Linked DNA regions of Pelodiscus sinensis. The protein of the gene in region 2 purifies or fractionates together with the protein of the main gene of each other region. This does not show direct contact. Links are inferred from orthologs where the notes say so. Each region holds a gene or a part of one and is shown on either strand. Other genes may lie near its edges.

Region 1 (10,290 bases), on a different chromosome or scaffold from region 2:
AACACACAGCTTACAGGTATCACTGATCTCCACCTCCTCCCCCTTGCTGAGGGACTTAAATAACATGAACATCCCTGATGGCATGATCCTCCATCCAGCTCCACAAAAGATGCCCAAGCAGTTAATATAGCTCCAGTCCCTTATAATACCCAAATTTTGAAATCTTTATGTGGGGCCAAATTTTACTGTTGTTTACACTCTATTGACCTACATGGGGCATACAGTACTGTATTAAATGTCTGCAGATCTGCCTGTGGTCTTTAGCAGCCACTATACCAAAGAGACAGTCCAGTGGAGCCAAGAAATGAGGTGGGCAGGCTGTCAGGGACGGCAGTCCTAGCCTCCCACGTGTCACTCTACAAGTGGGGAAAATTTGGGAAAATCCATATAAAAAGCTTCACAGGGCCTGATAGATTTGGGGGGGGGGGGGGGGGCGGGGGGGGGGGGGGGGGGAGGGAGAGAGGGGAGAACACAGGTCCTAACAGGGTGCTGTGGGAAAAATCACCACTTTTTGCAAATAGTTCCCTCCCATAATTTCCATTACAGAAGGGGACAATTTGGTCAACATGTTTTAATCCCATTACAAGTCAGTGTGACAGGAACTATTATTATTAAGGAGCGACAGCATAAGGCCAAATTTATTTTACAAAATTTTGCCCTGCAAAGTTAAAAAAAAAAAACACAAAACAAGGAAAGAGTACCATACTTTTTTCCTTGCAATGTACGACAAAGGCCTGAAAGTTTGCCCCCCCCAAATATTTTTCATAGTAGAGGATCAGATCTTGTTATCCTGTTTTTCTTTACAAATAAACAAACCAATCCTTCTATGGATACCTGGCAGTCTCCTACAATTATAATATCACATGTATCAAGGAACTGAAACTTGAACAAATATTGTGGGAACGTAATTTAGACATTCCTTAAAGCACTTATTTTTGTTTTTGTTTTGTTTATCCTCACTGACTCAGATAAAAAACAAAGAAATCTTTTCTTTCAACATTTTATTACAGAGTCAACACACCAACCCCTTCAACTAAGAGCCAAGAAAGCTCTCATTTTCATTTTTCCAAAGGTACCCCCAGGAAACGAGGAGAGGAGAGAAGAAAAGGGAATTCCAAATATTTCTGACAGCAAATGAAGAGAAGAGAGGAAAGGAGAGGTTTCCTAAGGTAGAGGAGACACACACACACACACACACACACACACACACACACACACACACACACACACACACACACACACACACACACACACACACACACACACACACACACACACACACGTTTTTAAAACTTTCAATGCCTTCTTTATAAATAATAACTTTTAAAAGGATATTGTAAAATGACTCAGATATCTTCCAATTAATTTACTCAGGTGGACTGTTATGCTTGCAACCAGGTCAGTAGGAGGGGAAAAAAGGAGATTTACACTCAAAGCTAACTGTTGCTTTATTTGCTCAACTAATGACAGATATTGCTTAATACATTAGCTTGATTTTAAAAAGTTTGCTTATAGACTATGGTTCTGCCTAGACTTGAGCTAACTCAATTGAGAAAAGCATATTTTTCCTAGTCTACAGAAGGCCAATGGTCTCTGCATCAGAGCAAGGGGATTCCCATGTGGATCCTCCTGCACAGTCAGGGATACTGGTAAAATTAGTGAAAAATTCAAACCACTTAAAATTTGTAAGTTTCCCACTGTATCTCTTTCAACAGTGTGTAAATCTTTTCCCAACAAACATGAATTTTAAGTTGACTCTGTCCTTACAGTTATCTTAAGAAACTATAAATGGAGAGGGTCAAAAAAGTTTCAGCTACTCAGTTTTCCATTTGAAAATGAGATTTCAGTGGGATCGAAATGCATCATGGCACCGTGTCAATTCCTTCAAAACTTTCAAGAAAAGGCAGGCATGGAGATAGGCTGGCTGCTGATCTAGTATCTCACCTGATAAACCATCCACTAACCAAGCCCATGGGAAGCCTGCAAGCCTAGAAAACAAGATGGCTTTCCTGCCCATCAGTTGGGCAGCTAGTCAGTCCAAAAAGCAAAAAGCCAGCAAGCCTGGGTAGGTGATTTGTGGTGCGCTTGGGGGTGCACCCCTGTGCCCTGCCAAAACTCTTCATTGCTAAATGGGGTATCCCTTCCTTGTTCCTTTAGGTGGCCCTCCCCGGCTATGTCTACACTGTCAGGTTCTAGCGCAAGAACATCATTTTTAAAAATCTGTTTTCAGTGGGTTTCTGGTTTGTTTATAGTCAGAGCTGGTTGAAAAGATAATTCTTGCGCAAGAACACATCCACACGGCCATGTGCTTTTGTGCAAGAGCGTTCATGGCAGTGTGGATGCTGTCTTGCGCAAGAAAACCCTGCCGTGCGTCCACACCGACCTCTTGTGCAAGAGCTCCTGCGCAAGAGGGCCTTACACTTGTTAGAAAAGAGCTTAGCTCTTGCGCAAGAAGCCCTCTTTTATCACGCTTTACTGTAAACATTCTTGCGCAAGAGCGGGTGGGCAGTGTGGACACTCTGCAGAAGAACGGCTGTTCTTGCGCAAGAACCCGCTAGTGTAGACATAGACCCCCTTTGCAGCTCTCATGCCAGCTGGGACACCTATTTTTGGAAAGTTTGATTTTTCATCCCAATTCAGGATTATTCCTCTGCCACAGAGGAAAAAAAGCCATGCAAAAATTTTCATGGGATGGAAATTATCTTTCTAACCAGCTCTGACTATAAACCAGTGTTTCCCAAATGTGGTTCCGTGGAAACCTAAGGGTGTGCCTAGACTGGCAAGATTTTGCGCAAAAGCAGCCGCTGTTGCGCAAAATCTTGCCGCCTGTCTAGACTGGTTGCGAGTATTTGCGCAAGAACACTGACTTTGTACTGTACAAAATCAGTGGTTCTTGTGCAAATACTCCAACGCACCCACTCAGGGATAAGCCCTCTTGTGCAAGTATTCTTGCACAAGAGGGCCAGTGTAGACAGCCATGTTAATTTCTTGTGCAAGAATGGCTAAAATGGCCATCGGAGCTTTCTTGCACAAGAGCGCGTCTACACTGGGCATGGATGCTTTTACGCAAAAGCAAATCTTTTGCGCAAAGGCGCATGCCAGTATAGACACTCTCTTGCGCAAATACTTTTAACGGAAAAACTTTTCCGTTAAAAGTATTTGCGCAAAACCATGCCAGTCTAGACGCAGCCTGGGATTCCGTAAAGTGAAAATAAGGGTTCTGCGAGAAAACTCCTTGACAATAACATTTTATGATTAAAAATAATATTTAAGAACTGACGAATTTTATTGAAAACAATTTTCATTTGTGCCAAGATAAGTGTCCCTGTGTAATGCCAGCTAAGCCAGAGTGGGGATAATGATGTCACTACTCAGAGCTATGCTCACAGTCAGTCAGTGGTGCAATTGCCTGTTATATATCATACTGTTATTAGGTGAAGCAAAATACAGGACTATGTAGCACTTTAAAGACTAACAAGATGGTTTATTAGATGATGAGCTTTCGTGGGCCAGACCCACTTCCTCAGATCAAGTAGTGGAAGAAAATAGTCACAACCATATATACCAAAGGATACAATTTAAAAAAATGAACACACATGAAAAGGACAAATCACATTTCAGAACAGGAGGGGGATGGGGGGGGGGGGGAGGAAGGAAGGTAAGTGTCTGAGGAAACTTGATCTGAGGAAGTGGGTCTGGCCCACGAAAGCTCATCATCTAATAAACCATCTTGTTAGTCTTTAAAGTGCTACATTGTCCTGTATTTTGCTTCAGCTACACCAGCCTAACGCGGCTACATTTCTATTACTGTTATTAGGGGTTCTGCAAAATTCTTTTGAGTTTAAAAGGGTTCGGTGACCAAATAAAATTAAGAAACTGCTATAAACAAACCCGAAACCCACTGAAAACAGCGTTTAAAAAACCTAAGCCAGTAATAATGTTAGGATACGGAATTCATGTTTTCAAAAAGTTTGTGTTCGCCCCACAGCTGAATGCTTCTAGATCGGTGAAAAGAAAAGCAGCGAGCTCAGGGCATGTTCGCTGGGAGCCGAAGCCCGGAGGCAGGGCGAGGTGTGTCTGGGTAGCTGGTGGGCGCGGTCACCCTTCGCAGCAGGGAGACGGAGCAGGCACCCACAAGCCCCTGCCGAGGGAGCTGCCAGAGCGCGACCCCCCAGCTCCCGCACGGGGGCGGCAGGCTGCTCCCAGCCCGCCCCGACCAGCCCCCCTGCAGGCCGCAGGCTCAATCCCCCTCAGCCCCTGCAATCGGCGCTTACCGCCGCCCGCGGGACTCACCGTGAGGAGCAGCAGCGCCTCCAGCCCGCCCGCCGCCGGGCCCCGCGCCATAGCCCAGCCCGCTCCGTGTCCTCAGCAGCAGCCGAGAGTGTCCGCGTCGGGCTCCTTCCGCGGCCGCTCGGCGAGCAATGGGGCCGCCCGGAGGGGCTGGGGAGGAGTGCGCCGCGCGGGGCCGGCCTGACACTGGCACACCTGGGGGAGGGGGCAGGTGAATCCCGCCTTCCTCTGAGGCGGGGGTGCCCCAGCGCTTCCGCCCTGCACAAAGGGGAAGGGCTGCAGGGCGCTGGCGGACCAGCCTCTCGCCCTGGCTGGGGGCTGGACCCTCAGCAGCAGCGCGTCCCCTTCCCGGCGCTGCCATTGCGGGAGCGGAGCCTGGGGGAAGTTCCTCCGACTCCTGCCCAGCTCCGGGCAGACACAAAGGGGGGTAGGAGCTGGGGAGAGAGGAGACGAGCTCCACGCTGCAGGTGTTGGGCACTAACTTTGCAGTCAGGGCCGCGTTATGACTTTCGTGGGCCCCTCCCACCATAATCATATCATTATTAAAAATGATTTTTGCTATAACTTTAAATACTTCAACATTTTTTTTCTGCCTTAGGCCAAATTGAATAGATTTTCGTGGGCCCTAAAAGTTTCATTTTTTTTCTGATGTGAGAACAAAATTAAAACATTTGCTTCCACCCTAAAAGTTCATTTTTTTTTCTTCTGATTGTAAAAAAAATTAAAACATTTTCGTGGACCCTAAAAGTATCGTGGGCCCTAGGCACTGTGCCTAAGGGATAAGTCGGCCATGTTTGCAGTCGCCGCCCAGTCCCTGCAGCTCGCCACAGGCTGCGATCTGAAGGACTGCTATGGTTTGTGCCAGCGCACAAGGGGTGGCTGCATACCTGGAAGGGCCTGCTGGGCCAGCAGATCCCAGCGCACCCCCTCCACTGCCGAGTTCGTGCAAGGGAGCAGCCCTGGCCACTGACCGACTCTGTGCCTTCACCACCAGCTGTGGCTCCATTCCTTCTTACAGGGGCCGCTTACGGGGATCAGGGGTTGTTGATCCTCTAAGTCTGGTGGCTCTTTGAAGTTTCTAAGGTGAGAACTTTTAATTTTTTTTTTAATGTTACAACTATTTTTATCTCAGTTAGGATCCGGGGGAAACGCCATTGTGAGTGCTGAGTTTGAATAATAAAACTGGCGATATTACCTGTTGTGTCTTTTGATCTTTGCTATAAAGTATCTGCTTCTCACAGGACAGGTTTTTGCCCACCCCTTGCAGGGTATTTCCCACATCTGATCAACAGTCATGTTTTTCTTTCTGAGCGGGTTTTGGATGAAGATCTGAGTTTAGAAGGATTTCAAATATAGGGAGCGCTCTTTCCATTTTCCCCTTCTCACCATACAAAAGAACACTACAAGTCATAGCAAGTAGGTGTGCTTTACAAGCTGACAATCCTGTTACAAAGGGGCAGCCTTCATTAATGAGTAACTTACAGGAAAAAACATGGACTCATGGGAAAGTAAAAAGAATTGCTCAAACAAAACCTGCAGTGTTGATACTCCTAATCTGTGTTCCGTGGTCTGAATGCACTTTTTTTTGTATCCATTTCTGATACTGCTCTCTGCTCACCACCTGTTTAACACTGACCAGTCCAGACACTAATTATATGGGGGCAGGCGGGTGTGTGTGTGGGAAATTAAGGTTAGTGTGCATCTTACTTTTACAGGGAATGGAACACCTATATGCTAATAGATGCTGATTAATTAGGGTTGATCAGGTCAGATTCAGCTATGGTAAATCTTTTCACATAATTTCTGAAGCAATCAACTGTAAATATCATGAACAGAATTAGGACCCTTTCAGAGGAGTAGTTAATGGGGAGCCTTTTGTGTTATACATGTAGTATCTCATAGCTATGTGAAACAGCTGCACTTATACACAGTGGTAAACTGAGGACACAGAATATGCATTGTCTCAGAATGTCTTCGCTTTTGTTGATTTAGGATACAGTGATATAGAAGCTTCTCTTGCCTTTTTATGCACATCATATTGTTACTTAGAAAAAAATCAGTGATACTACATGTCCAAGTATAGTGATTACAGTGTTATATTCCTAGTTCAACCACTGAGTAACAGTCTCACTGGTCAATAAACGTAATTTTTGTGTAACGAAGTATAGCTACATGTGAATTGGTGTATTAATGCTTTTGTTCCTCACAAACAGGGTTTGAGGCTTAATACCTAATATAAGTAAAGTGCTGACATCCTATTTTGAAGTTTTGTAATCCCAATAAAATTATTATTATTTTAAAGTGTACAGTGGAGAACAGGACCAAAGCCTTTAATATGATCTGTATACAATATTTTTAATTGGGTGAGCTACACCAAGATTCAAAGATCTGCATGTATTATGACTGACGATTTAAAGAGCTCTAGCATAATTACAATATAAATGAAAGTGTTTCATTATTTCAAGGATCTGTAAGGGAAGTTTGCTCATTTGCTGGATGATGGTGATTTTTATATGTGTGCTCTGTAATGTAGCCAAGTGGAACTTTGATCAAATTGCTAATTATTTGTTAGAGCCATTTGTTAAAAAGTATGTTGATTAGTGAAATAAATTTTTACAACTAAGTTAAAATAAAGCTAAACCTCATTTTGATTTAAAATCAATTAAAAATAATAGGCCCGTGTATATTACTGAGGCCCCAATCCTGCAAACACTTGTAACTAAAATTACATGCTTGCCTATCTCATTGACTTCAATGCAAAAGCATTTGTTGTAGCAGGGCCAAATGCAGGAATAGTGAGATAGCAGGGAGCAGAAGTGTTCCCCCAGAACACAGCCAAAGAAAGATCAACCATTGAGTATGCAGAAGCTCTGCTCTCAGAACATCCCTTTGCTGAATCTGCTCTTGTGATGCTTATAACATTCACATGGGTAGTCAAAGCTTCTGCAAATAATTGCAGTTGCCACTAATGCAGAGCTTCCTGATTTCATATAATGTTTATAGCACTCGTCGACATACTACATGTTTGTATGAATTTGACTGTGCAACAGCTTCTTTTTAAGATGGGGAAATATTATCCCTATTGTATGGAGGTGCCTTGCTGAAGTTGACACAGTACTGGCAGATCCAGGAGCTGACTCCACATTTGTTTCCAGCCTTATTTACCACGTGACCATCCACTCAGTTACATGGATCCATGCTGTAAACTAGCCCTTTCAGCTTTCCTTATTGATCTTTGACACGAGACACTTTCATTTATATTCTAATGATGTGGGGGCTCTTAAACTGTCAATCATAATATATCCAGGGCTTTGAATCTAGTTTTCCTCACCCAGTTAAAACTACAGATACTATTATGGGCTTCAGTCCTGTTCTCCAAAGTATGGCATGCATCATTGGTCACCCTAAAATTATAATTTTCTCTTATATTGCTTCTTTATTCAAGAATCACCAATGTTTTAAACAGATCGCAGCACTTTACTAACATTAGCACTGCAACTGGAAACTACAATTATGGCCCAGGAAATCCATTTATACATGACAAAGGTAAACTATACAAAGATACAGGTGCTTGTACGAGAAAGAACAGAAGGATACAGGTACAAAGTTCAAACATGATGAAAAGCAATGCGGAAATAGGTCCAAACTCTCAGGCTGAGGTTTTGTTTGTTTGTTTGTTTTGGGCATAATATCCTGGTCATTATTGAAAACTACAAATGACCAAGCCCCATTCACAGCCCATGAAAGATTTAGTGTAAGTCTTTCCAATTATAGCAGAATTGCAGGATAACAAACACCAAAATTACAAACACATCAATGAAGCACACACCTTATTTGGAACCAGAAACATTGAATCAGGCAGCAGCTAAGACCAAAAAAACAAAATAAAAAAACCACACACCAAACAAACAAAAAATACTCAACCACCCAAGAACAAACAAACAAACAGTCAAGTACTGTGCTGCTAAAACAAAAACTACTGAAAAGATAAAGGGAAAGTTAAAGATACAAGGTAAGAAAACAATTTAAATAAAACAAGCACAGAAATAAAGATAGTTAAAAGCATGTTTTATCTGTATAGTAATGTTTCAAAGCTACATTAAATCAATGTTCAGTTGTAAACTTTTTAAAAGAATAGCCACAATTTTGTCTGGGATTATGAACATTTCAGAAGTTAAAAGCAACTTCCTTTCCTAAGGTATTCATAACTGAGCTTCTACTGAACTTCAAGGAGCATAAGATCAGGCCCTAAACTGTTATTCTTTTCTAAAAGTTTAAACATCTATATAAATTTCCTCAAAGTTTTAACAAAAACATAATTTCATAAAAATATACATTTGTACTAATTCACAGTATTATTTATTATGAGCATACTTGTGTGCTTCCAGTAGATACATTCTCATATGATCACTCATAAATGCCACTCCCATTTCATGGTGAGTAAAGCTACGCTAACAACTCTAGCTGAAATTCAAATAGGATTCATTTCTTTTTGGTGAAGAAGAGGGCGAGGAGATAAATTAAAATATCCAGCCTTAAGGAACAACCCAGTTCCTTATTAAATTAATGACAAATCTATTGTAATGCCTTTAAAGTGTTGAAACCAAAGACAAACTATCTGGTTTTTTTTCTAGCTTTTGAATTAAACGGAACAGGTACAGTGTTAAACAAGTGCTGCTACAAGAGGAAATTCAGTGTATAGCTGTGATGAAATGCTCTGAGCTCTTTGTGTGTCATATTAAGGTAACTGAGAATGTTTTTCATTGTCTTAAAAATCACACTTCACCCTATTCCACTGTTTTAAAATTCTTACCACACCATTTTTATGACTATTGTCAATAATCTGTCCAAAAATTATTTGCAATTAAAGGGCATTGACCAGATTTCACAGTTGCACAAGAATCCACTTCCAACTACCACTAATTTTAACACCTTTTGTGCTTAAGCAGTCTATCTCTGTGGTTCAAATTCCCCACCTGTAAAATGGGATAATAATACTGATCTCCTTTGAGATCTACTGATGAAAATGTTATCTAAGGTCTATGTATACAATTATCAGTTTTAAGGTGCCTAATTGATACAGAGGATTAGAAGAAAAGCTCTCTTCATATTAAGGGCATGATCCATTAAACAAGTTTAACTTTATAAAGGGAATAACTCCATTCATTACAAAGCTATGCCTGGACTTCAGTGCTTACAAGTCTGGGGCTCATGGGAGAATATTGGAGAAATAGAAAGTATGGACAAGGAAGAATGGTTCACTGTCATTACTTGCTACTACATACATGGTAGTTGGACACATAAATGCTTCTGATTTTTCTATGCTCATAAACAGTATTTGATCCTTTTTATCTCTCTTCTGTTCATCTCTTTTTAATAAATTTAAGATGTTTATTTCTCTTTAAATGACTGGAATGATTTGCTTCCTCCTCCTGTTCTACCTCTTCTCAAACTCAATCTCTTTTTTTCCCCCTCCCACTTATCTTTCTTCCCATCCCTATTCTATGTTCTCTGTCCTAATTATTAGTATCAGAGGGGTAGCCATGTTCGTCTGAATCTGCAAGAAAAATGAGAAGTTCTGTGGCACCTTATAGACTAACAGATTTATTGGAGCATAAGCTTTCGTGGGCAAAGACCCACTTCATCAGATGTCGAAGTGGGTCTTTGACCATGAAAGCTTATGCTCCAATAAATCTGTTTGTCTATAAGGTGCTGCAGGACTTCTTGTTCTAATTGTGTATTTCCCTATCCTTTTCTCTTTCACCCTTGTATTTTGTGGTACCAGTGGCTAGACTGAAGTAGCTAGATATCATCTGCTGTGCTATACTTTGATCCTTTTTCTTCAGTGATCATGGCAGGCTGCAGGGGAGCATGATGCTGATGATTGTAGAAAATGTTACCTCCAATTCAGGGCGAAGCTGTAGGGCGATACTACAGGGTAGGCTGCCAAATACAGAACTTTCAAGGCACGATCCAAAGCTCACTGAAAACACAGGAAAT
Region 2 (10,939 bases):
GGTTTAAATCGAAGATACAGCATCACACCGACTTCAAAATTCCCACCAGCCACCTTTATCCACACCACGTGCTAGGTTCAATTTTCCACACTGGGGCAGATATCGGTCCAGGATAGAAAGCCCAAAGACCAGCTGCTTTGTGTTTAGCTACTTCACACCAACAGAAGCATCCGAGACCAGGTCTGCCTGCAAAAGTGAAGTCAGCTCAGCTCGCTCTCTCGGATTCTCAAATCCACCCCCCTAAGAAATGCAGGTAAACCAGGCCGTCTCCTCACATAGAGGGTTCTAGTCCTGGGAAGAACCCTTCCAACTTCGGGGGAGGTAAATAAACTGTCTGTATCGGAGAACCCCTCCTGTCGCTGTAATGAATCAGCACGCAGAGGAGCCACAAAATGCAATTGCAGCATTTCAAGAGTGGAGAAGCCCTCCAACTTCGAAAACGCATGTTCAGGTGCCTTTTGTGCAGTTACGGCAGCACCAAGCACACTGCCTGGACTCCCTTGCACCCAGCTCTCATTGCATTCGCCATATAATTAAACATGCACCCTCCCTAATGAGTACAAAGAACATCAGGGCGTTCACGCATACATGTTCGTACTGATTTTATGGCATCCATTTTTTTAACTCCGATTCTCTTTTCAGGTTCCTTATACAAGAGCATTTTTTCCCAGGCAACTCCCAGCAACATTTTGGCATTGTCCTTTCATCTTTGTTGTAAACCTAATTAATTAAGCGAATACCAGCCAGACAACCTCTCCTCTACAAGTTCCCTAAAGCACGGCAGCATGGCAGACTGAACAGGCTTCTAATTTCACTGCACAGATTCCTTCCTTTCGCAGACTCTTTTTAGTTTTTAGCTACAAGATTTGAATAGATTCCTTCCCTCCTTACCCTCACTCTCAGGTTGTCTACATTGCCTTTTTCCCCCCCTGCAGAAGATATGCAAACCATGCTCATTTGCATATCTTCTTTGGATCCTTTTTGCAGAAGAGATTTTGCCACTAAAAAGCCCCATGTAGACAGGATCATTTCTCAGAATAAACCCCTTTTTCCTCAAGATCCTGTAAACCTCATTTTTTGAGGAATAAGGGATCTTGCGAAAAAGGGGTTTTTTTCCCCCGACAAATGGCTCCATCTACACAGCGCTTTTTGGTGGAAAAACCTCTCCCACAAAAAGGAGCGGCAGAGGATATGCAAAGGAGAGCTGCGATTTGCATATCTTCTGCCAAAAAATCAGCAGTATAGACATAGCCTCGGAGTCCTCCCTACTTCCACACACTGAAATACTAACTCCCCCTCACTTACAGACCGTTCCTGATAGCAAGATGAGAACACAAGATTTTCGGCTCTAAATTGACTTTACTCCAACACACGGCAGAGCATAACAAACAGGCTCAAGCTCTTATAAACAGGGCCCTACCAAATTCACGGCTGTGAAAAAAGTGTTCCATCCAGACCATGATCTCCCCTGCAAAGTGTGGCTGTTGTAGAGAGGGCACTGTATTGCAATCCTTACTTCTGTGATAATACTGCAGTGGCACTGCCTTCAAAACTGGGTTTTCAGCCAGAAGCTGCCATGGTCTGACCACCTGGCTCTACAGATAAGAGCAGAAATAAGGGTGACAATATGCAATCCTCTCCCATCATAGCTTTGTGACCTCCTTTTGGATTGGGACCCCCCCGTTTGAGAAATGCTGTCTGAAGGGCTTTACATGTTTATGCTTTGTGACAACCCGATGAAATCTAAAAATTTAAGTATCTGATGCTGTGGATTTCACAAATGCTATGACTGCGAAACTGACCAAAATAGACAGTCTCTGTTCATCTGAGGAAGCGGGTTTTGCCCACGAAAGCAAGCTCATGCTTTTTATTTTGTTAGTCTAAGGTGCTACAGGACTACTTGTTTTCAAAATGGACAGTGAATTTGGTAGGAGACATCACCTGCTTGCTGTATTTTTTTCTTCCAGTGAAGAAACACCACCTCCCAGAACTATTTCATCAACATGGCTACATCTCTGCTGGGGCGTGGTTTTTTCCAAGTCCCATCCCACATCCATATGCCAATATAGTTTTCAAGTAGAGGCCAAGCTTACATTGCAAATCACAACTGTTTGTCAGGCAATTGGCAATCTAGATACAAGGCAAGTCTCTAGGGCTACTGCTGGGGACTCCTATCAGGCAATTTCCCTACAAAGAGTCTACACTTAGCTTGTAACAGCATCTTCCTTCCAACCAGGGCCAGATTAAGACCCTTAGAGGCCCTAAACACTGAAAAGATTATGATGCCCTCCCCATATGTAATTCAAAATAAAAAGTATCAGAGGGGGAGCTGTGTTAGTCTGAATCTGCAAAAGCGGCCACAGGACTCCTCGCCACTTTTTCAAAATAAAAACAATACTATACCGTAAAAATCTCTTTTTTTTGGTGCCCCTAAGCACGGGCTTAGTCTGCCTACTGGGTAATCCAGCCCTGCTTCCAACCATTGCAAAGTGCTGGGAGCCCGATGTGTGATCGTGCTTTGCAAGAACATACACTTCAGTCAGTCACCGCATGCAAGCTAAGAAAGCAGGTCGGGAGCATTTTATAATACATGGACAGGAGACCTCAGAAAACTAATATGTCAAACGCGCAAATACACCCTGAAAGCTGATTGTATGTTGATTCACTGCACAATCAATTACACAGAGGAAGGATTTCTTAAATGCCTGTGGCTCATGCCTCAGTAAGAGATTGCCATCTTAAGCTCGCATGGCGAGAGCCGAGCCAGAATGACACCCTTCCTATCACAACAGTTACAGAAACAGCAATGGCACTCTCCTGGAAAACCCAGTCAAGGAGACAATTTGCAAACTTGCTCCCCAGGAATCCAGCAAGAGAACAGGAAACGCCCATTGTGAGCTTTAAAAAAGGAACCATTTCAAGGACCAGCTGAAATAGATTTGCAGCACGCACCCCTCAGCAGTTTTTGTAATTTGTCATCCAGGAGTCCATCAAGTTGCACTGCCTGAATGAAAAGACAGCTAATTAGGTTTGAAAACGCAAGACGCCTCCAGTTTACACCACTTCCCTTTCGGTTTTAATGCACAGTCCAGCTTTCTGGAGCAGTTGCAGGATGCAAACAACAGGCTCCTGTCTCATTCTCCAGATTCCAGCAGGATCCAATTTCTCTTGCGCGAAACAGCGTCTCACGAGAGAGGTTCAGCAGCCACCCCGCAAGCCTTCTGCTCCAACAGAGACTCCAGGCACTTGCAAATTAGACGGCTAATTTAATACCGATCTCTGGAACTATGTAACAGGCTGCCTACAAGTGGTTTGCCGTCAGCCATTAACTGCTTTGATTAATAGCGACCTCAGCGTGTGTTCAGTGCAGGGTGATGAGGTTACTGGTGACACTCCTGTTTTGGCAAGGCAGGGTTCCCTAGAAGGGCCACACGGAGGGGGGGGGGGAGGGACACGACACAGCACCTGGCTGGCGCGGACAACGCGGGACACAAACATGTGCGAGTCTGAACCGCCCCCAATTTCCCACCGGCACGAACTTTACCGGGCGCCTGGACGCGTCCTGGCTTCGCTTGCGCCAGATTCCCCCAAACCAGCACAGCCCCCCAGCAGCACTTCGCTAATCCCACCGCAAGCGGCCGGGCTTTCCAAGCTCGCCGAGACCGCCCCCTCCCCAAGTTCGCCCGGACCCCCCCCTCCCCGAAGTTCGCCGGGACGCCGCCTGCCCCCAAGCTCGCCAGAACCCCGCTGCGCCCCAGCCCGGAGCCCCTCAAGCTCGCCAACACCCCGCTGAGCCCCGCCCCAGCCCGGAGCTCCCGAGGAGCCAGAGAAGGCCCCACCCGGCCCGGACAGCTCGGTTCCCAGGGCCAGGGCGTTGGCTCGGAGCAGCCGGCGGCCCGCGGAGCGGACACGCACCAGCTCCTAGCCGGGCAGACGCGAGCCCGGGTGAAGCGCCGCCTCAGTGCCCCCCCTTAACACACGCACACGTTCAGCCCTCCCTTTGCACACGCGCGCACACTCAGCCGCCCCGCTTTGCACACTCACCCACCCCCTTTGCACACGAGAGCACAGCTCTCCCCCTTTGCACACGAGAGCACTCAGCTCTCCCCCTTTGCACACGAGAGCACTCAGCTCTCCCCCTTTGCACACGCACACGCGCACACTCAGCTCTCCCCTTTGCACACGCGCACACTCAGCTCTCCCCCTTTGCACACGCGAGCAGACTCAGCCGCCCCCATTGCACACGCACACGCGCACACAGCTCTCCCCCTTTGCACACGCACACGCGCACACTCAGCTCTCCCCCTTGCACACGCGCACACTCAGCTCTCCCCCTTGCACACGCGAGCAGACTCAGCCGCCCCGATTGCACACTCAGGCCCCCCCTTTGCACACGCACGCACACTCAGCTCTCCCCCTTTGCGCGCGCACGCACTCTCGGGGGAGCCCGCGGGCCGACCCTCACCTGCGCTGCGCCGCACCGCTCTGCCCCGACACTGGCGGCTGCCCGGCTCGCACCCACCAAACAAAAGGCGAGCGCAGCCCGCAACCCAGCCCCGCCCCCGCGGTCCCCAAGGACACAGGCCCCGCCCGCTCGTGGCCGCCCATTCATTGGCCCGCTCGCCCTTCAGTCACGCCGTCGCGGGCGGGGGCTGCGCCGCCACCTGGCGCGATGGAGCGCCTCCCGATTGGCCGCCCACAAAGCGCAGGGCGGACGGGCCCGCGGGCCGGAAGCGGATTGGCGCTTGGTCGGGGAGCTGGGACGCGATTGGACGACGGGGGTGGCGGTCACGGCGGGGAAGGGCCAGTGGGCGGGGGAGGGCGTGTCCCTAGGCCAGGTGGGACGGGAGACGCTCACCTGGATGAGGTCATGCAGGTGGGGGCGGGGCTTCGGGCTAGGAGGGAGGAGCCTGCGAAAGGACAGGGAGCTGGGGGAGGGGAAAGGGCGAGCCTGGGCGAGAGCTGCGGGGCAAGGGGAGTCTGGGGGGTAGGGGCAAACCTGGGGGGTGAGTTTGGGGCAGGGGAAAGTCTGGGGGAATAGGGGGGCAGAGGGAGAATTGGGGACAGATGGGGGTGGGGGTGAGGGAGCCTGGCAGGGGAAAATCAGGGCTGGAAGCTGATCAGCCCTCTAAGAGCTCTTTGCCGCACATTCCTGTGCACCTTCATGCAGCTCCCCCCCCCCCCCCAAAGCAGTCCTATTCCCCACTAAATAAATTTAATGGAGATTGCCTATCTCTTAGAACTGGAAGGGACCTTGAAAGGCCATCAAGTCCAGTCCCCTGCCTTCACAGCAGGACCAAAGACCATCTATGACAATTTTTACCCCAAAGTCCTAAATGGGCTTTTTGAGGATTGAACTCACAATCCTGGATTTAGCAGGGCAATGCTCAAACCACTGAGCTACCACCTTGTCCCCCATTACCCCTGTTCCTGTCCCTCCTCCCCCAAAGATACTCCCCCGACACATCCAACAGCCCCATTTACCTTCACCTAACAGCAGTGCCACTCTCAGCAAAGGGCCCCTCCCATAGCACCCCACTCTCCAGTGAGGCCCTGTTCTTAGGAGCCATGTTGGTCACGTGCCTCTGAGCACTGCGGGATGGTGATGGAGAGACACAGGCTGTGCCTAAGTTCGGACCTGGAGAAGGCGCTTGCCGTGGACAGCAGCAATGGCTACCTCTGGGGTGGCTGTGCATGGTTAAACTGTTTGAGCGCAGGGGGCCATACCATGTTCAGCAACCTCATGCTCAAACCCCTCCTTTGGAGCCAGTTCAGTGCAGCCTTCTTTATTCAGCAACAACTTGGTGCGCTAGCTCCAGCCACGCTGCACAGTTTTCTGGGTTCTCTTCTCTTCATCTAGCACTGGCTTCCCTTCTGGACCAACACAATTCCCCAATGGTATGCAAGAGCCTTCTCCTTTGCCTCTCTCGCTGTCAGCCGCACGCTCCTGGTGTCATTCCATTTCTCGCCTAACTTCCTGCAAAAATATTTGTTTCTCCCTTGTGTTCCCTGTAGCGCAGCACAAACCCAGACAGGAACAACTGTGCAACCAGTCCGGAGGAGGCGAAATTGAAACAGTCACTTTTCTACTCCAGAGTCCCAGGGACGGCAAAAACGCTGATCAGAAATGATAAAAGACTTCCCATTAAAAAGCAATGAGGAGAGCATGTGCCTGGCCTACAGGGAAAGGAGCGAGCTGGTAGGAAGAGTATCTCACAGTTTAACACCCTGCCACCAGCTCACAGGTGACGCTGACAAATGGCCAGAAAAATAAACCCCAGCAGCCTCATACGCCTTTACTACGAACAGATGCTTGCTACAGCTGCCAAGGACTTGTACCTGAGGCATCTGCCTCAATTGCTCTCCGATAACCCTGCGTCTGGCTTGAAACATTCATAAAGAATCTTGAATTTGAAATATTTTGGGACTTGGGTTCTTTGTCTCTCGGAAAGGTTTGCAGAGATACAGTGTGTCTTGAAAGCCTCTGTAGCCAAAATAGTGGTGACAGGTGTCATATTAAGCACTGCCGAGAGGGAAGAAGGTGGCATAATGACACATTTTTTTATTATTACAACAAAATAGCAGCACATTAATCAGATATCTCTGGCTGGGGGTTAAGAATAGAAGGTAGAGTTCTTTGAAGGGGTCAACAAATGTGGAAAAGGGGGTTCCAGTAGATATAGTGTGCTTAGATTTCCAGAAAGCCTTTGACAAGGTCCCTCACCAAAGGCTCTTACGTAAATTATGTTGTCATTGGAATAACAGGGAAGATCCTTTCAAGGACTGAGAACTGGTTAAAAGACAGGAAACAAAGGGTAGGAATAAATGGTACATTTTCAGAATGGAAAGGGGTAACTAGTGGTGTTCCCCAAGGGTCAGTCCTAGGACCAATCCTATCCAACTTATTCATAAATGATCTGGAGAAAGGGGTAAACAGTGAGGTGGCAAAGTTTGCAGACGATACTAAACTGCTCAAGGTAATTAAGACCAAAGCAGACTGTGAAGAGCTTCAAAAAGATCTCACCAAACTAAGTGATTGGGCAACAAAATGGCAAATTAAATTTAATGTGGCTAAATGTAAAGTAATGCACTTTGGAAAAAATAACCCCAACTATACATATAATACGATGGGAGCTAATTTAGCTACAACTAATCAGGAAAGAGATCTTGGCGTCATCGTGCATAGGTCTCTGAAGATGTCCATGCAGCGTGCAGTGGCAGTCAAAAAAGCAAACAGGATGTTAGGAATCATTAAAAAAGGGATAGAGAATAAGACGGATAATATCTTATTGCCCTTATATACATCCATGGTATGCCCACATCTTGAATACTGCATACATATGTGGTCTCCTCATCTCAAAAAAGATATACTGGCATTAGAAAAGGTTCAGAGAAGGGCAACTAAAATGAGTAGGGGTTTGGAATGGGTCCCATATGAGAAGAGATTAAAGAGATTAGGACTTTTCAGCTTGGAAAAGAGGAGACTAAGGGGGATATGATCGAGGTCTATAAAATCATGAGTGGTGTGGAGAAAGTGAATAAGGAAAAGTTATTTACTTGTTCTCGTAATACAAGAACTAGGGTCCACCAAATGAAACTAATAGGCAGCAGGTTTAAAACAAATAAAAGGAAGTTCTTCTTCACACAGTGCATAGTCCATCTGTGGAACTCCTTGCCTGAGGAGGCTGTGAAGGCTAGGACTCTAACAGGGTTTAAAAGAGAACTAGATAAATTCATGGAGGTTAAGTCCATTAATGGCTATTAGCCAGTATGGGTAAGGAATGGTGTCCCTAGCTGCTGTTTGTCACAGGGTGAAGATGGATGGCAGGAGAGAGATGGCTTGATCAGTACCTGTTCAGTTCACTCCCTCTGGGGCACCTGGCATTGGCCACTGTTGGCAGACCGGACACTGGGATGGATGTACCTTTGGTCTGGCCCAGTCTGACCATTCTTATGTTCTAAGTCTAGTTTTACTCCTTACTATGCCTTTGACTGGTTCAGGAGTCTCTTTAGCCTCTGATTTTGGAGTCTTCAGTTCTCAGGTGCTCTGATTTTCGGAAGAGCACAGCTCCAATGAACTTCACTAGAGTCACGATCGCTTGGCACCTTGGAAAAGCAGGCGCAGTTGTCACTAACTGGACACCCGAGATCACTAGTCACTTTGGACCTGCTCACCAGGACAGCTTCTTCTTCAGGCGAGAGTGCCCACCTGACACACCCCTCCCAGGGGAAAGGGCAGGATTTGTTCATTTACGGCCGGAATGTGCTTGGAGAGCCTCAGCATTGTTAGAAACACAAAGTATTTTTGTCATGTCTTGATTATTATTGGCACTTAGGCCAATGTCCCAATTAATCCATCTTTTGAGAGCTTCAGGTGAAAGATGCCAGAATAGAGAAAACGCGATTACAGAGTTACTCATTGCTTGCCAGTCCTGGAAATGAATATACACACATTATATATAACTAGTTAGAGATTTGGCTAATGGGACCGGCATGCCACTCTGAAGAACCCCTGGACAGGCAGGGCAGCCCTGGCTAAACACCTGCAGAGGGCTGCATGCCGATGGTTGCAAGACAGCAAATTCATGTCCTCACATACCCAAGAGCTTGTTCCTGGAAGCCAGGAGTGTGACAGCCAAATCGCATCGACTATTCGATTAGCCAAATAATTGAAATTTTACATCCCTAGTTAACAGCAGTTCCCACAAGCAGAGACCAACATTAACCCATCACCCGGCGGGATGCCCAGCAGGACTGTCCTTAGGATTTATGGGGCCCTCTCCAGTGCTATTAAACTAGAGCCCCTAAGCCCCTAAGGGGAATGCTTTTTAGAGCTGTGATTTTATCATCTTCAGCACTACACAAATGACATATTTTTAAGGCAAATTATAAACTAAGGTCCAATTGACTCACACACGAAGTGCAGAAACTGTCAGTATTCTGTTACCTAGGGATGTACAATTTTGATTATTTGGCTAATCAAATAGTCGATGCAAATTTGCATCGACTATTTGGTTAGTCGTTAAGGGTGATTTTTCCTTTGAGGCATAGCAACAGCCCCAGGGCTGTTGCTGCACTTCAAAGGCGAAAGCGCTGCAGGGAGCATGGGGCTAGTGACGGACTCAGGCAGTCCCCCACTAGCCCCATGCTCCCCACGGCGTTTCAAAGCGGCAGTGCCACATGGAGCCCGGGGTCAGCTGGGGACTCTGAGCACCCTCACCTCTTCCCCCCTCCCCCTTGCTGCCTCTTTCTGATAGAGGCAGCAAGGCGGGGAGGCGACTAGTCATTCACCTCCCTACTGTTAACGCCACTCAATCTGTTAACAGTTAGCCAATCCCTCCGGGAGGCAGGCTGCCCTCCCTGCACAGCAGTAGCCTCCCCAGGAATTGAAATTAAGGGGGGGGGGTGTTCGAATTTACAAGGGGGGGTGTCAGGGCTGATGAGGGATGAGACCGTGAGGGTGAAGGTGGGCTGTATGGCACCATAGTTCACAAAACTGGGAGGGGGGTGTTGGGGAAATTCAGGGGGGGGTATACACCCCCTGAAACCTGGTGTAGTTGCTGCTCCGGAAGCTAGACGCCACGTGTAACCTGGACAAATAGAGCTTTGCCGGTCTGCGCACTGGGCTAGCACCGGTGCGTCTGTGCACAAGACCAGGTTCTTCTGGGGCAAAACGTGGGCCAATGAAATTAAGCAGAGCGCAAAAGCCAAAACTTGAGAAGCCTTTTCTGCACCTCAGAAAGGCGTCTGGGAATGGGGAGGAAAGAAACAAGGGAGCCTATCTCCTTTCAACACCCAGAAAGAACTCACCCGCCCGGGGCCCAGTTGTGGGAACACCCTTGCTGCCGCCAATAGGAATGGACTCGAAAGTAGAGCCCTGCACGGATCCAGAATGTTCTGGCCCCATCCGTAGCCACACAAATGAGCCGTGGCTGGAAAGCGGATCTCTGCGGAGTTGCAGGGTCTACTCGGAAGGCCAGCTGTGAAGTTCTCCTGCCCCTGCTTTGGAAAGAGGCTGCGGGAGGGGCGGAGGGGGGCCTGGAAACTGACAAGTGACCAACACATCAAAACGGATCCTTCGCTGCGCCTGGCCGTCAGCATGGCTGCCTCCTTGCTCCCGCCACATGGGATTCTGGGACACGTCAGTTATTCGGGGGCTGCTCTTCCTGGCCGGGTGACTTACACCGTCACCCTTTCGTTGCGGCCTATCAGCGCTGTAGGGTCTCACCTCCCCAGCCCCTGTTGCCGATTAACGAACTGACAAGCATAAGGGGCCTGTCCAGCTGCCGATGTGCGTCTCCTGCCCAGGGGTTAGGGTGTTCCACACAACTTGAATAACACAATTAGCTGCCACTGCCCTTTGTAGCCGGTCCCTCGGTAGCCCGTGGTCGGGCCCAGGAGAAGGGTTATTATTAGAACTCCATTTCCTGACTGCTTCCGGGCGCGGTTCGTACCCCCATTAAAAAATATCAATGAGCCGCGCGTCTGAAAGCTATTTGCATGACACAGGCCCGGCTGCGCTTCCCCTCGGCAGAGCTCAATTGACACCGCTAATGCACTGCAGCCATGGGGCACAGTTGTCCTACGTCTGCGGCCTGTCGGAACAGCAATCGGCTCCGAGAGCCCCTGGGCTCTTGGCAAGGCCAGGAGACAGGCTGCACGGCAGAGGCCTTTCCTGACCCTCCTGCACCGTCCCCCATCCCAAAAGCCCGTCATTAGCTAGGGGGGACGGTGCAGGAGGGTCAGGAAAGGCCTCTGCCGTGCAGCCTGTCTCCACAATTGAGTTACAGCAGACACCTGCCGGCCCCCAGCCCCCACCCAGCTCTTGCCCTCCGCGAGCAAGACACCCAGATCCAGTGGCGGAGGATTCGTTCCCCCTGCCCTGAGCCAGGACTGCTCCATCTGCCTCTAGCCAGTGAGCTGGGGGGGAAACCCAGGG

What was found.
Region 1: the proteins of JUP (region 2) and DSG2 purify together in Homo sapiens (affinity purification with western blotting; 3 studies listed by BioGRID and IntAct, with this or other methods). This does not show direct contact. The link is inferred for Pelodiscus sinensis from reciprocal best matches to the Homo sapiens genes JUP and DSG2.

What each region holds. Positions count from the first base shown.
Region 1 is NC_134712.1:73,104,584-73,114,873, forward strand, and holds the start of DSG2 (desmoglein-2), read right to left. Parts: upstream 4,486-10,290; 5' UTR 4,345-4,485; coding exon 4,294-4,344; intron 1-4,293.
Region 2 is NC_134739.1:9,925,526-9,936,464, reverse strand, and holds the start of JUP (junction plakoglobin), read right to left. Parts: upstream 4,622-10,939; 5' UTR 4,609-4,621; coding exon 4,466-4,608; intron 1-4,465. UniProt on the Homo sapiens protein: Common junctional plaque protein. The membrane-associated plaques are architectural elements in an important strategic position to influence the arrangement and function of both the cytoskeleton and the cells within the tissue.